Drosophila melanogaster: one gene and its partners. The protein of the gene in region 2 purifies or fractionates together with the protein of the main gene of each other region. This does not show direct contact. Each region holds a gene or a part of one and is shown on either strand. Other genes may lie near its edges.

The links. Proteins that work in one complex are often made in the same cells at the same time.
Region 1: the proteins of Sod1 (region 2) and Trxr1 purify together in Drosophila melanogaster (affinity purification with mass spectrometry, with the first as the bait; one large-scale study listed by BioGRID). This does not show direct contact.
Region 3: the proteins of Sod1 (region 2) and Treh purify together in Drosophila melanogaster (affinity purification with mass spectrometry, with the first as the bait; one large-scale study listed by BioGRID). This does not show direct contact.

What each region holds. Positions count from the first base shown.
Region 1 is NC_004354.4:8,241,705-8,248,952, forward strand, and holds Trxr1 (thioredoxin reductase 1), read left to right. Parts: upstream 1-1,877; 5' UTR 1,878-2,024; coding exon 2,025-2,355; intron 2,356-2,484; exon of another isoform or gene 2,485-2,726; coding exon of another isoform or gene 2,727-2,793; intron 2,794-3,683; exon of another isoform or gene 3,684-3,922; coding exon of another isoform or gene 3,923-4,040; intron 4,041-4,389; coding exon 4,390-4,735; intron 4,736-4,805; coding exon 4,806-5,032; intron 5,033-5,103; coding exon 5,104-5,990; 3' UTR 5,991-6,329; downstream 6,330-7,248. Other genes in the region: sni (sniffer), read right to left, coding at 1-439, 501-552, 1,247-1,372; ND-75 (NADH dehydrogenase (ubiquinone) 75 kDa subunit), read right to left, coding at 7,226-7,248. UniProt on the Drosophila melanogaster protein: Thioredoxin system is a major player in glutathione metabolism, due to the demonstrated absence of a glutathione reductase.
Region 2 is NT_037436.4:11,110,944-11,115,494, forward strand, and holds Sod1 (superoxide dismutase 1), read right to left. Parts: upstream 2,798-4,551; 5' UTR 2,697-2,797; coding exon 2,631-2,696; intron 1,906-2,630; coding exon 1,510-1,905; 3' UTR 1,338-1,509; downstream 1-1,337. Other genes in the region: emei, read left to right, coding at 1-176, 245-419, 482-745, 802-921; FoxK (forkhead box K), read right to left, coding at 4,142-4,475, 4,541-4,551. UniProt on the Drosophila melanogaster protein: Destroys radicals which are normally produced within the cells and which are toxic to biological systems.
Region 3 is NT_033778.4:21,078,965-21,084,026, forward strand, and holds the start of Treh (trehalase), read left to right. Parts: upstream 1-1,643; 5' UTR 1,644-1,907; intron 1,908-5,062. UniProt on the Drosophila melanogaster protein: Enzyme that cleaves trehalose to produce 2 glucose molecules that can be used by the glycolytic pathway.

The sequences.
Region 1 (7,248 bases), on a different chromosome or scaffold from region 2:
ATGTCGGTTTTCACCCAGCCAGGATGCAGACTGACGCACATGATGCGTTGCGGATACAGATCCACGCTCAACGACTTGGTGGCCGCATTCAAGGCCGACTTAGAGGTGCGATAGGCGTACATTCCGCCGTCCGTGTTGCCCTGGATGGAGCCAAGGATCGAGGACATGTTAATAATGGCGGCACGGCCCACGCCCATCGGCTGGGATTCGTTCGCTTTGGCTGCCTTCTTAAGGAGCGGCAGACACGCCTTGGCCAGCATGATGGGCACAACCGTGTTGGTCTGCAAGGTGTCGAGCAGCTCCTGCGATCGAACGGCCGTTATCCTGGCCGATTTGGGCGCTATGCCGGCATTGTTGAAGAGCACATTGAGGCCTTGGTCCTTGGTCACGCCCTCGATGTCGGCGACTAGCTTGTCATAGGCATCGAAATTTCTCAAATCTGCACGGAAAATATATTTATATGCGAGAGTGTTTAGCGGCTGGTAAAACATAATGCTTACCAATCTCAAGTATGTGTATGTTCGAGTGGTTCTTGGCTAGATCCTCCAGCTCCTGTGGGCCAAATTGGGAAAGACAAAATGTTTGAATAAGAAGCACATTATTAGTAAAAAAGCAGTTTATATATGAATAATTTTCCAGTTAAATTACTGTAATTTTTAGAGGCAAATTTGGTATTTCATGAGAGTTTAAATAGCGCGCCCAACGAGCGCGTTAGTGCCATAATAACCGATAGACGATAAGTGCTGCTGGTGTGACCGAACAATAGTCGGCCCAGCAATCGACAAGCCAATCGACGTCTCCCTTTCGCACGCTCGTACGAAAGTACAAAAGCTATTGCAAAAGTTGGCTCCGCTTATTCGTTTCGTGCTTTCGCGAGTGCCGAGAGCCGCTACAATACACGCTTAGCAGTTTTTACATTTCCGCTTCGACTACAACAACATTCACTACCCGCCGTTGATCCTTGTTTTCTGTCTGATTTACGTGGAGCACCTACCAACAAGCAACAAAATAATGGCGCCCGTGCAAGGTGAGTTTCACAGTTAATTCGATTCCAATTGAACCATTCAATTTATGCATGCCCATTTGGACGATTAAAAAGCGGTTTGTAGAAATAGTGGCTCTTGTGGATTGTTCGCGTAGCTTCTGTAGTTTCTGTAGCTCGACGGTTGTGAGTCACCGGTTTTGTTGGATTACTGGATTGTCTTAGTAGAGAGACAACGCAAAATAAGAAGAAAACATCTCTCACCTTTGCCTGCTCGCGATTCCGGCAGGTGGTAAATAGATGCTGCGGCGGCTGGGGAAGATTGAGCAGCGCCTTGACCAGGCCCAGACCCAATCCTCGATTGCAGCCGGTTATCAGGATGGAGTTCATGTTTTTTTTTTCCGAAGATCCGCGATCGAGTTGCTCGAAATCTTATCGCGTCGTACTTGAGATAAAACCAATAAAGGGCGGCACTACTATACGGGTTCCGTGTGTTCTGTGGATTTCACCAGACCCGCAGCCAGATCTTTCCGTGCTTATCAATCGACTTTATTGCCGTAACACAAGCGTGAAAATAGTGAAATGTTAGGAAAAATTTTGACGGCCGGCTGTTTCGTTCGGACAGCAGCAGTGTTACCAACCATCCGCGAGTTATCGATACACTTGCGCATTGCCAAACGTGCGTTTCGCACATTTCCAATTGGCAAAGGGCAGAACAACTGTTGTGATGTTCAAATCCCAAATGGAATTTCGCAATCCAATGGATGCTCCTTTATGGCAAATCCATTTTATCCCAAACATTCTCGTTTTTGCGGTACGCGCTCTTGCGCCCTCTCTCTTTCTCGCTGCTTCTGTTACGTAGCCGTTTATCGGCGCCTCTGCCTGCCCACCGCTTTCGCAGCATTCCCGGCCGAACCAGCGAACGTGTTTGTGTTGTGTGTTCCGCCGTCATTTTTCTGCACCCTTTTCGCGAATAGTTTCGTTTCGCCTCCAGCTGGTAGAGTGAAACGCCAAACGTTGAAGAAGGGGAAAGGCCAACAAGATGAACTTGTGCAATTCGAGATTCTCCGTTACGTTCGTGCGGCAGTGCTCGACGATTTTAACGTCTCCTTCGGCTGGCATTATACAAAACAGAGGCTCACTGACAACAAAGGTTCCCCATTGGATTTCCAGTAGTCTCAGCTGTGCCCATCACACGTTTCAGCGAACTATGAACTTGACGGGACAGCGAGGATCACGCGACAGTACTGGAGCTACCGGTGGGAATGCTCCAGCCGGATCCGGTGCCGGCGCACCACCACCCTTCCAGCATCCACATTGCGACAGGGCGGCCATGTACGCGCAACCGGTGCGAAAGATGAGCACCAAAGGAGGTGAGCATCGATATCGATTGATATTCTGATTAGATCTTTGCTGTTGCCGCCGCAGCTGCTGCTCCTGTTGCCGCCGGTTGGCAACGCGGTCGATTGTCGCGGTTTTCTTGCTTGTTGTTTTTTCTGGGTCTTCTTGTGTTTAACCGACGCCATTATGCAATAACCGTTAGTTGCCTGGCCAAAAAGTCCATTACTCTGCTCTTATTACCTGGCTTATCGGGTTTCTGCGGCACGTATTCGCCAAGGGTTTATATGCCTGCCCGGCATTTGCTGTCTCACATTTGCACCGTCATCGTCAATCGTCATCGCGCACCCGCTCCAACTGGAATTGTACAGTCGGGGTCGCGCGAACAGCACTCGAAACTCGTATCATGCTGAAGTACATGATTTGCGCCATCGTTGTGGGCGCCAAAAAGAGCACATCCTCTAAGTATAATGGTCAACAAAGTTCTGAATCGCGTATAAATACTATGTCAGTCGAATTTTTTTAATTGAATTATGGATTGCTCATAAAACCATTACTCAATTGCAGCTTAAACAATATCAGTTATTTGCCTCAAAAAAGAATTACATCATATGACTTAACGAATTAATAATATTTGTTAAATTACATTCATACAAGTCACTTGTATTGCCATTTTGCCTTTAGCTGGTAAAAAAAAACTAATATCTATTTATATGAAGTTAAACGTATTTGATGTTTTAATTTGTAATATAATATAAATCCCACATGCCACGATCAAGTTTTCTTGTTAAATGAATAATTAGCCAATCGAGCAGATACGAAGCTTCTAATTCCGAAAACAATAGAAGAATTTACTTATAAATATATGCCATATTCTGATTTCAAATGGTAATTAAGGGTATAATAGGATTTCTTAAAGCACCAACGTGATATGTGTGATTTTTGTCGAATGCGGTGCTCTTGAACGAATAACCCTTTGCGGAATGTTCGAGAATCGCTTTATGATGATGATGATGATGATTTCACCATATCAGTCGGGTGCATTTATTCCCTTTATCTGTGTTTTCTATTTCGTATCTCTCGTATCCGTCGCTCAACGAGCGCCCGCCATCGTCTTTGATCTTTCATCATCATTGCTGAGCTGCGTCATCACCACTTCATTCCGCAATTAATTGCAGTGTGACGACAACAATTGTTTATTTGCACTCGCATTCGTACGTAGCCACCTGATTTCCCCCTGTTCCTGGCCAGGATTAGCATTCCGTCCGATAAAAGCGAATTGTGTGTGGTGTTGCCAACTAGTTTTGGGGCGTAACCATGACAAAGTCCGGCGGGTCAAAGCAAACCGAATGGGGGGGCGTAGGTGGACGGACGGAAGAAAGGCGTGGCCGGGCTGGGATGGGCGTGGCTTGGTGTGTGGCGATGTCGCTAGATGATTGCTCCACTTTGATTCGAACTCCCACTGACCCAGTGGCATGTGTGGCATTCGGCAGCACTATCGCTACCTGGCAACTGAAGCCAAGGAGCTCGACGGGATTGCACGGTGCAGATTACGGATTGCAGGAGGCCAAACAGTCTTCGTTCCGCACTTCTTTGGTCTGGATGCATCTGTTCGAATTCATACCGGCTTCCCAGTTGGTCGAGGGTGAACCACGCCACCGGAGGAGCATCTACCGATCCGCCTATCTGGACATACGACTGCGCGAGGAGTCCACCAAAGGCAGGCGGGGATTAGCCATAATCATGAGTGAAGCTAAAGAGAAACTTGAGTAGTTGGCACCACATGGCTAATTGATATCATTACCTATCACTGATAAGGATTTTCAACTAATCTAGATACTGGTTAAGAACAAAAACAGACCATGCCAATACAACATGGCTATTGATGTTACTAACGGTGATAAGTTTTTAATAATACAAGGTGAATTGGCTGTGCTACGATTAGATTTCCTGACGGCTCCTCATGTTCTGTGACCTCTTGACCTCTTTAAGCCCAATTTTGGCAGTAGATTACATATTTCTATAGACAAAAGGCGATGAATCAAACGAAAACCTTTTTTCTCCTGCAGGATCCTACGACTACGACCTTATTGTGATTGGAGGCGGCTCAGCTGGCCTGGCCTGCGCCAAGGAGGCAGTCCTCAATGGAGCCCGTGTGGCCTGTCTGGATTTCGTTAAGCCCACGCCCACTCTGGGCACCAAGTGGGGCGTTGGCGGCACCTGCGTGAACGTGGGCTGCATTCCCAAGAAGCTGATGCACCAGGCCTCCCTTCTGGGCGAGGCTGTCCATGAGGCGGCCGCCTACGGCTGGAACGTGGACGAAAAGATCAAGCCAGACTGGCACAAGCTGGTGCAGTCCGTACAGAACCACATCAAGTCCGTCAACTGGGTGACCCGTGTGGATCTGCGCGACAAGTAAGTGTGACTATATCTATGGCTTCCGCTCGAGCATCCCCACTAATTATACCCTTCTATTTGCGCTCAGGAAAGTGGAGTACATCAATGGACTGGGCTCCTTCGTGGACTCGCACACACTGCTGGCCAAGCTGAAGAGCGGCGAGCGCACAATCACCGCCCAGACCTTCGTCATTGCCGTTGGCGGCCGACCACGTTATCCGGATATTCCCGGTGCTGTCGAGTATGGCATCACCAGCGATGATCTGTTCAGTTTGGACCGCGAGCCCGGCAAGACCCTGGTGGTGGGAGCTGGCTGTAAGTAGCTACTTTCATTTGCTTACATCAAATTGATGAATAACCCATTCGGTTTCTGCTCTTTCACTCAGACATTGGCTTGGAGTGCGCTGGATTCCTGAAGGGTCTCGGCTACGAGCCCACTGTGATGGTGCGTTCTATTGTGCTGCGTGGCTTCGACCAGCAGATGGCCGAGCTGGTGGCAGCCTCGATGGAGGAGCGTGGCATTCCCTTCCTCCGCAAGACGGTGCCGCTGTCCGTGGAAAAGCAGGATGATGGCAAGCTGCTCGTGAAGTACAAGAACGTGGAGACCGGCGAGGAGGCCGAGGATGTTTACGACACCGTTCTGTGGGCCATCGGCCGCAAGGGTCTGGTGGACGATCTGAACCTGCCCAATGCCGGCGTGACTGTGCAGAAGGACAAGATTCCAGTGGACTCCCAGGAGGCTACCAATGTGGCAAACATCTACGCTGTCGGCGATATCATCTATGGCAAGCCAGAGCTGACGCCCGTCGCCGTTTTGGCTGGCCGTTTGCTGGCCCGCCGCCTGTACGGAGGATCTACCCAGCGCATGGACTACAAGGATGTGGCCACCACCGTTTTCACGCCCCTGGAGTACGCCTGCGTCGGCCTGAGCGAGGAGGATGCCGTCAAGCAGTTCGGAGCCGATGAGATCGAGGTGTTCCACGGCTACTACAAGCCCACGGAGTTCTTCATTCCCCAGAAGAGCGTGCGCTACTGCTACTTGAAGGCTGTGGCCGAGCGCCATGGTGACCAGCGCGTCTATGGACTGCACTATATTGGCCCGGTGGCCGGTGAGGTTATCCAGGGATTCGCTGCCGCTTTGAAGTCTGGCCTGACTATTAACACGCTGATCAACACCGTGGGCATCCATCCCACTACCGCCGAAGAATTCACCCGGCTGGCCATCACCAAGCGCTCCGGACTGGACCCCACGCCGGCCAGCTGCTGCAGCTAAAGCGGGAACGCAGCTCAGCCGCCTGGGACGTGTCGAAGCCGCTTGCTCCACCCGAAATCCCGTAGATGAATGGTTGTTGTCGCGGCCCAGCGATCGATGAGTTCAATAGTTCCGTTTCGTTTCCACAATTAACACCCAACACAATAGCTCTGCGCAAGGGAGGGGCACTGGGCAGCGATGGCGGGTGGAACGACACCAGTGGAACTACCCGCGCGACCAGCCCAACCCACGACTGCTGCGCCGCCGACATGCACTCAAAATTTTGAATTTGTTTGAACCTATGAAATTAACTATGAAATCCCCTAAATGTACGGTTGAAGAATATAATTTTTCACCAACAAACCCCTCTGTGTTTCAGTTCTGTGCATTTCCTTTAAAACATACCTCGACCTTTAGCCCTTCCTCTGCCTTTTCAATCAAGTAAGTTCATTAGCCATGCAAATGGCTTGACTTGACCTGGCTAAATCGATTCTGTCTGCCAGCCTGACAACTTGTTAGCCACCCGACTAATTGCTAATGCCATTGCTAGGGGAATCTTTGCCCTCGAGGGCTATAAATCAGCTACGAACGATGGCACCCTGGAGATACATATATCAGTGGGTAATAAATTATACTTTAGTTTTCAAAGGAAAAACAGTGCGTGATAAAGTGTAATAGAAGCTACGAAAAGGTTGAAGTTTATGACCTAAGGAATCCTCGCAAGCAAATCAAAATCAAATTAAGACAGTAAATTGATGCAATCAATTAATGAACAGCAAAGAGAATTCAATAGCTTCTATAAGGAATTAGCATTAATCATATATGTATGTATGGAACACTTTCGAGGTGGTATCTCCGATTGGATGCCACGAAACAAAGCGAGATGGCTATACTATGAACCAAGCGACTTGGAATAGCCCAATATACCCATAGTGAAACCCAACCCATTGATAAGTCGCTGTTGTGATATTTTTTCTATTACATTTTTATTTTGGTTTTCCTATTTTTCGTATTGAATAACTCCTTTGTTTTGAACAACGTAAGACTTTTTCATTTACAACTGACGCAGCGCTGGCGCCTCTGCAGCCGCCGATCGTGCTCCTCATCCCGCTACTGCGCTGGCTCTTCCCGCGGCTCGTCCTGGTGTCTTTGTGTCCGTTAATTAGTGGGCGAGTGCGGCGCGAAAGGACGAAGGGCAGAGTTTAAAAAAAAACATTAATTAGTTATTAGTTTAGATCAGACGCGAGAGTGGGCGCCTAGATAGCCACACTCTGCTTGG
Region 2 (4,551 bases):
TTGCGGATGGCCAAGATGCACTGGGATTCGTTGAAGTACTGTCGCGGCAACCGGTTGCTGCAAGTGCTCCTGAATCTCAGCTTTGTGCTGCCCTTTATTCTGGTCATCCTGTGGATTCGGCCCATTAGCCGCGATTACCTGACGGTGCGCGTCTTCCAAGGAATGCAACAGCCACTGTGAGTTAACCTACTCACATTAAATTAGTTTTTACTAATTAACAAGTTCATCCCGATTATTTTTGCAGACTGAAGCCACACGTTTTTGAGACACTTCGCCTGCTGCTAGTGATCTTTGTGGTGGTGGTTCGTTTCGCCTTGATGCCCATATATCTGCAATCGTACCTGAATCTGGCCCACGACAAGATCATGGATCTGCGCAAGGAGGCCGGTCGGATCACCAACGTAGAGTTCAAGCAGAAGGTGGAGGCAGTCTTTATTTTATACAAACGTTCATCGAGTAAATCCTCCTTTCCCTTTTACAGATCTCGTCTATTTTCTACTATCTATGTGTTGTGACGCTGCAATTTGCTGCCCCACTGATCCTATGCCTTTATCTCACACTTATGTACAAAAGTCTGGGCGGCTTTAGCTGGTCGGGTATTTTCCGCGAGAGCGTTGTCCTGCAGCACGAGTGTGCGGCTAGCGAAACGGAAGGAGCTGGTGTTGCCGTTTCCCAAGGAGATGGTGACTTTAATATTATTGAGTCGGCGCAATCGCTGCAGGCTTCGTTTAGCAGCCTGAAAAACGTAAGAATCCTTGCTGTGCACGTCAATGCCAGTTTTAATCATAATTTCTTTTTCAGGTTTTCTCCACGGAGGTGTACAAGGGTTTCCTGGGCTTTGCCACCTGGTGGAGCTACTTCACCCTATTCGCCACTTCATCGCTGGGCATTGTCTACCAATCATATTTCAACAAGACCTAGGTTCATTTAAATCCCCGTCGTAGTATATGACTTTGTTCTTTTGTAGTGAATTTATACCGCACACGAAATTAATATTAGTTTCTACTCATGTGGCGAGTATCTTGATTTACAATATTTTTTGTAAATAATACTACCTAACTCATTGTTTATAAAGTGTGTTTTAAAGACTTTTAACCAGGCTGCCCGGAGAGTAACCAAAGTAATTACAAAAATAAATAAATAATCTAAAACGGAGATATGTTATCAAAACATGAACGAATGTGTGTCTCATCGTGATTTTTGGGTTCTGCACTCATCTAATATGTAATTCATTTCATACGAATCTATAACCCGATTCTACTTGCGAATTCGTCGAGCAACAAGTGATATATTCATTCTTACCATCTCAACTCAAATGAAAACTATAACTTTTGTTTATGGGGCAATTTCAAAACACCAATTTATTGAACCTCAAAGGTTGCGTATCAACTAACAGACCACAGGCTATGTATTTATGTTTAGAAGTATGTATATCGTTTGTATATCTCCAGTGGGTAGTGCTAAATAGAGTAGATCAGCACAGTGGCCGACATCGGAATAGATTATCGCTTAGACCTTGGCAATGCCAATAACGCCGCACCCGATGCGGGCACCAGCGTTGCCCGTTGACTTGCTCAGCTCGTGTCCACCCTGGCCAAGATCATCGGCATCGGCGTGCACGACAACGGTGCGTCCGATGATGCTGTCGGCGCCGAAGAGCGTAATCTTGGAGTCGGTGATGTTGACCTTGGTGGGGCAGTCGCCGGTGGCCTCAATGTTGCCCAGATCGCCCAGGTGACGATTCTCGTCGACGGGAGCGCCATGCTCCTTGCCATACGGATTGAAGTGCGGTCCGGACGACATGCAGCCATTGGTGTTGTCACCGAACTCGTGCACGTGGAATCCGTGCAGACCCTTGGCCAGGCCGCACACCTCACCGGAGACCTTCACGGGCGTACCGCTGCTCTGTGGACGGGATGAAGGGATTGGGTTATAACGCTTCAGATAATACTCGAATACTGATAAGACACAAGTTGTGTATAATAGTGAGCAGAAGCACTGATTATGATAACGAGCGTGGCCAACTTCATATGATAATAGGTTATTATAGAAAATAACATTTGTTAATAGACACACGTTAAACGGAAATATTTATAGGCAGCAAAGTAAACATTTGGTTATCTTTATAGATTAAAAACATAAATTTCCTCGGCACTGAAACATAACCTGTAATCATCAAGTTTATAATCGTTTACTTGACACTTGACATTGCTGCTTTGACTTTGATGTACAAATTAATTATGAACAGCATCATTCTAATTATTCCCATATTCCTAATGCTTATTCTAAAACAAATATTTGTTGATATTTAACGATACTTTACGAACAAGTGAGCTTTATATCTTAACTCCTTTTTATGTCCAGTACCAATTTCGTGACCTTTGCTGTAGGCACTTGAGCGCACACACATATGCGCATTTTGGTGCGGCTTATATAAATATAAAGGTGCACTTGCTGGGTGACTAGGCGTAAACTCAAATCGGACTTAATTAAAATGCTCGACAGAATTTAAAGCAGCATATTGAAGTGGAAGAGGGGGCCGCGGGTGCAGCCGGCTATTTGACCTTTAGAACTTCTGTTTTTCGTACATTTTGCCGAGCAGAGAAGTTCAAATGATTTTGGATTCTCACCTCCTGTTCGAAGAAAACCGTGCCCTTGGCATCGCCGTTAATTACGCAGACAGCTTTAACCACCATTTCGAATGAATTAATCAATTTATCAAAACGAAAAAAGTTGAGAACTTTCCAGGTATCTTCTATGGTGTGACCGTAGCAGAGCAGCTTAGAAATACATGCGGAACTTTTACTGTTAGTGTTCAGTTGTGCAAAAGTTTCGTTCACACTATTATGCCGTTACTGGAAGCATTTTTTCTTTGTAATATTTCAAGCTCATGTTTTATTGGGACATTTATTTACATTTTTAAGGATAAAAGCTACAAATTACAAAATTTGAAAACGGAACAATTTTACTGCACAAATGGCGTTGAATTTTTTGAGCTGTTCAACGAACGGGTGGTTCACTTGGAAGCCTTCCATTTATTCCAATGACAGTGGCGGGAACTATTCAATTTACTTTGTTTTGTATAAATAAAAAACGAATCCAGGAATTCCCCAATAAATGCCCAGACTTGATTGCGCTCCTGTTGACTAGTATCAACTAGTATTCATTCATCTATCTAATTCAATTAAAGCAGGTAAATATTAACAAATTGAAACAAGAAAGTTTACATTTGATTTTTGTTTTTTTTTTTAATACACAATTTGTCCAAACACTTAAATGGGATTTTCTTCATTAATAAGAAATAATGTGCTATCATTTCAATCTTTATATATTGTTATTGTATCCGTAAATTTGTAGATATTACTTATTTATTTTCATCATTTTTGTTTTTGTTTGTATTTTAATAATTTGTATATATATTAATATAGATATACATATATATATATACACATATATATATATATTATATTTAAATCGATATAGGTAAAGGTATGTAGATAGGTAATATTATTCATTCGCCTGTTTGTTTGTTTGTTTGTTACTTGTGTGGTTTGCTTGCTTGTTACTTAATTTTCCCCAAATTTTTTTTCACGTTTCTCGCACAATTCGGTCACATAGCTATAACATCTTAAACATCATAATCATCAATCATTACAATAATCAATCGCATATATCTAGATAATTTTGCTTTGTTTGCTGCTTTACCTTGTTGTAAACTTAAAATTTATTATATTACTTAGAGAGTAGCGTCATCGAGCATATTGAATTCGTCAGATCTAGGGGATAAAGTCGTTACTTCGAATCGGGTTTTCGAATTTTCAAAATGTGTGCTTGCATAAGTCGCCGCCGTTGAACGGCTGCATGGCCAACATTTCAAACACAATCATCTCACAGTTGCTATTTGTAAAATGTTCCATATCAATTTACATATACATTGCTCTTCGCGTGCGTTCATGTTCCTTAAGTTCTGCGTGTGTGGCTATTTAATTTGATTTGTATTTCGGGGTTTAGGTATAGGTTTTTGATTGGCAAATTCAATATACAAGATGGAGATACTTTTTTGTTTTTGCTTTCTAATCGTTTACACCCATGGGCCTCACTATTTGCCCTTGTTCTGCCGGTGCTTCTGGATCCGCACGCATCAGAGCACTTCCGACACATACTTGGGTCGCTTGGCCACGGTGGCATCGGTGGCAGTGGTGACGCACTCCTCCTCGCTGGCCTCAATGTGGCCGCTGTAGTCGGTCGGCAACTCCTCGTAGATAATCTCTGAATGCTGTTGCTGGGCCACGGCCTGCTGCTGATGCAGCGTATGCTGCGATGCCCCGCCGCCCATCACATGGTTCCTCTTTAGCGCAAGCAGAGCTCCAACCCCGCCGCCTCCGCCGCCGCCGCTCGCTGCGCTTCCTTCCACATGCGTCTGTGGTGTGGCCACTCCAGAGCTTTGATTGGTTACGTAGTACGGACTGCCACTACTGGAAAATACGAAAATAAATGTTTAAGACACGCATTGAATGAATCATTTTAATGTTGTGCTCACCTGTACTGATT
Region 3 (5,062 bases), on a different chromosome or scaffold from region 2:
TAGAAATTATTTATATTTATGTTCGTAAAAAACCACAACGATTTAGATTATTTAAATGTAAAAGCTATTAATATTAACAGTTTGCGTTCTCCTGACCAGTCATAAGCGAAGCAAATGTAACTGACATTTGTTACCGTTTATTGTTTGTCACGAACTCAGTTAGATTCACTTCTCTGTTTCAGAGCTGATTTGCGATTGGTCGTTGCTTGGCGGTGTGTCCATGTCGTATACGTAATGTGAAACGGATTAGCTCGTTAAGATCAGATTGGAACCAGCTGTTGAGCAGAAACGGCAGTCACGTTTATAGCTCTCTAGCCCAGCTAGATCGCAAATTAATCCATTATCAGTCACTTTTCTTATCAGCCCAGACAACAACAGACCAACTGACATCGCATCAATTGAGACAGATCCTCCCCCTGTTGAACGATTTCATTATTTCTGAACTTAGTACACACTCAGCTTGTCATGCATATCACCAAGTGTCTATTCAGATTTTCCCACTCCCGGGCGCTCCATTGGGCTTCGCAGAAACTAAATCAGTATGCGATTAGGAGGTGCATCAGTCACCGAAGGCTCAGGTGAGGCGAGATAGTCTGACACTGATAAAGGGCCCGTCCTGCTATGGCACGTTCGTTTTAGCCAGATAGAGCGATAGACGGCGAGCCTTCTGAATCACCTGATGCTGTCTCATCCCCAGAAACTACTCACACTGCACAAAAGTCAGACTTTTCAAGAACAATTTCGATATTACACTCATTCCTTTGCATTGATTTTAAATAATACGTCATTTCCATAATACGACGTTTTGAATAAGTGGACTCATTTGACCGGAAATGGGAAATATACTCACTTCATACTTTTAATAATAATGCGTTCATTCAAGTAGTAACCAACGTCAAGTTCTAATTACGAGAACATATCTTCTTTTGCAATTGAGTCCAATCCAACTCATACGAACTTGAATTCATTATAAAATACGCTGTGATGTATGTAAAAAAATAAATTAGTAATGACTACACTACTACAAATTCTTTCATTGTAAATGTTTTAATTTACAATTCCTTAAATATGAATAAATTTTCTAAACAAAACTAGTTTTAGATAACATAGTATTTATTTGCTTTAGAGCCAATTTCCTGCCTATCTCAATAATGAATAATCTTTCTTCCAAATCAAAAATTATTTATAATCGTTTTTGGCAACAATCATAAGTTAGTGAGGGTCTTAAATACCACGTCAATTCATTTCAGGGTGATTCTATCTTATCGCCCTATTTTCGAGATTTCAGAAGAGCGAGGCTTTAGAAAATCAGGCTAAAGTATTTACGGTTTCCTTTTCACCACGGCAAAATGAACAAAATTTTCCATATTGGAATATAATGAGACCCTAGTGCTTCGCCAATTGTATAATTCTCTCTACTGCCCAATAATTTTCTCAATCAATCAATGCAAATGTGACAGAGTTTACGCATCAATAAATCTTATTTATTTGCGTTCTCAACTAAAAAGGCAAACAGAAAACACGATTTTAGCCAATTTTCAGCTGTGCTTCAGCTTCTTTCCCCCAAAGGGAACACTTGGTAACTCTGTTCCGGGCGGATCTTTGCGAAAATCTTATTTAAATTTAAATCTCCGGCACTTGGATCGAGGCAGTCGGATCGTTGCCTTCAAACGATCAACATCGCAGGGGCTTTATGGCGATAAAGCAGCGCTTTTGATTAGGAACGAGAGTGTATATAGTCCGCGTTCACATCTATATACATATAGTAATCTGGTGCACAAAACAATACAGATAGTGAGCGAGTTATAAAAACTCGTAGTCAGCTCAGCAAATTGCCAATAATAAAAGTGAGTGAAATGCGAAAACAAACTACAAATTAATTTGAAACTGAAAAAGTACCTTTACAAGTAATTGTAATTTGGTTTGTAACTCTCGACTGAAAAATACAACGCGAGCTGAATATACAAAAGCAATTAAATTATAATTTTCAATACAAATTGCTGTGGTTGCTGTCGTTTTCCCTCATATCTGCTGATATTTTCCCTGAGCTTTTTTTATCGCGTTGAAAACGTGAATTCTCGTTATTTTTACCACAGATCAGCGACTTGCGGTGTCAGTGATCTGTGGTCCCTGGGTATTTAGAATTTAAATGGACTTGCGGACAGAAATCCCACACCGAATAGTATATAAACTGCTGTCTAGTGTCAACGCTTCAAGTCTCGTTTTTGCACTGCCAAAAACCACTTTTTTTTTTATTCCAATATGAATTGCAGCTAATTTGAACTGTGAATTTCATTAGGAATCGAGTGAATAGCTGAAAGTAGCTGATCCAGCCCGACTGGAAGATGTACACTTTCTGTTGCTAAACCTATTTAATCTTATCAATATCAATATCAATTTCATTATATTCTTTCTAAGAAAGTTTCTAAGTTCTTTCTATATGTGCACTTCAAGCTGCTGACTTCAACGAGGCAATCAGTTTTTTTTTTTTATCAGTATCCCTGAACTTGTCCAAAAACAAGTTAAGTGCACTTAACTATATAGAGGTGAAATGATTCTTAAAACTGAAGAGCCTTGAATGCCGCTGTATTTCAAGTGAAATTCCATCAGAAGATTACTTCAAGATCTATTTTCAATATCAATGCAATAAACAATGCCCATGATAACGAATATTTGAGTTATCTTCGAGATTAAGTTCAATGCTTTCCAGTTTTATGAGCAATCGATAAACCTTTATTGTCCACTTGAAGATTGAAGATTAAGGCTCCAGTGGTTCATAATGTTACTAGGTCAAATTTTCCCCTTTATTTAATTAAGATTAAAACGCAGTACTTAAGCCACTCAATATGAATCCTTGTATTGCAAATCATTTTATTTAATTTGTTTAACTTAATTACTAATTATTTCCCTCACGCATGAACGTTTCGTTTGCAGCTAACTGCAAACCTTTTTACGATTCAATAACCTTTCGAAGGCCTTTCGATCGGCATTTGAACGGCTAATCAAAGCAAAAACGCACAGTATCTAAAACAAGTTAATTCAACCTGATGCAAGTTAATTCTTAATGACATTACCTGTTTTTGTGTGTCTTGTGTGTTTCTTCGTTTTCCTCGCGGACTTTTCAACATGTCATTCCAAACCCATCAGGCATTTGTTAGAATTTTCGACTAAGCCAACAAACCGTGCTTTATAATGGCTAGTTGAGTGATTAAATTAATCGGCAATTATACGAACGCGTTGAATGGCCCACATAACGATTAAAATCGTCCTTGAATGATTTTGGCAAAGTTTTGTTTTTCAAGCCCAGTTCAAAGATCTGAATTAACTGACTTTTGGCTATTGTATTCAAACAAAAACGTCATGCGAGGCACTTATCACTGCCATCGATGACGACAATGAAATTTTATAATACACATCTATATAAACAAATCATAAAGTCACTGGCAAACATAATAGCCCAACTAAATGGTGAGAGTGCGAATAAGCATTCAGAAAAGTTAATGATTTCGTTCACGCACCTTAAATTGTTGTTTAAACAATAGTTGCTTCATGATCGGGCTGCATTTTTATGATTTATATGGAATTTAAGACGGAATTGTGTGATTTTTGAGTAATGCGGAATCGGAAGTCCACGTAGGGGGGAATTCAAAATTCGAAAAGTTGTTAATACAATAATGTTTTCCAATGCCTGACACGTAGGGCCAGCTGTAGCGCCTGCTATTTGTCATCCATGGTTATCTGAAATGTTTTTCGAAAAGAGCCATAAATCAAATATTGGTTGAGTACGCCGAGCGGAACAAGAAAGTAAATATCTACAAAAAACTCAATGGAGTGTGTCTGGAAGTGTAGTAAGTGTTATAAGTCTATGATCCCAACTTGCAAATGCCGAATATGACTTCGCTAATGGAATCATAAATACTAACCACTTGTGACGTATGTATTAGATCAATGATTTAGTTGCACCTGCTAGTTGCTGTCGTCACAGAAAGATTGAAACAATGAACTTCTCTCTTTGTGGTTCTCATTACCGTGCGGCTCAATTTAAATTGCACAATTGTTTCGCCTATTTGAGTTCCCTTTGTTTTCTGATGCCCCATAGGGTTATATCATCGTAGTGCGATAATTCATCATACACTTAATGTTCCATAAAATACATTTGTACATTTCGTGTGCAATATGGTGGCCTTAGCCGTTCGAGTTTGAGTTCTACTGGCTTCCGATAATGGCTCTCCAAGCTGCGCTTAAGTTTTCCAATCCCATCACATAATCCCCTTTTTGCGACTCAAATTTCCAAATATGACGTATCTGTATATCCATACATTCGTTAATCTCTCGAAAGCAATCCTTATTCAGCGAATCAGTTCAATGAAGACTCGTTATGTCGGTCCACAGAGTGGCATTCGTGCAAAACGTCGCAATTCCGGTCCAGAATTTGGGGCCAGACGACACACGTGTCACTAACACACAACCCACTCTAATTATAGACTTGAAAATGTATCAGCTTGATTAGTTTGGATATAAATAAAATGTCAGGCGAATGTCACCATTCTTCGGTGACCTCAAATCGGGTACAGCGCGATTAAACCGCACTGCAATGCAAATCGCTCAGATATCGGGCTATACTCATTAAATTTCTGGATAACTGGTTAGTTTCCAATTCCAAAAAAAAGTTTCCACACTTGCCATCGTAAGTGGAGCATTACCTATTAGCATTTAAACTAGGCCTAAAATCCCCGAAAATTACTTCTTATCAGTAAGTACAGTGGGACCTTGCTCAGGCAAATATCTATATGGTAACTATAGATGATCAAAAGTTGCGGGTGCCGCTTTAAATAGGTGTTATAGTTATGAATATATATTCAAAGGTCCTAAACCATGAATATTCAAACATCAGTTAACGATATGCAAATGATGGGTGTGCCAAAAACCCAGTCGAATGCCCCTTGCCACCGGGCAACTGTGTAATTACCAAGGCACTTAGAACCGAAACCGATACCAATATGCCGATTGAGCAGGTAATGAATGGCTGACTTATAAATATATATATGTATATATGTGTTCA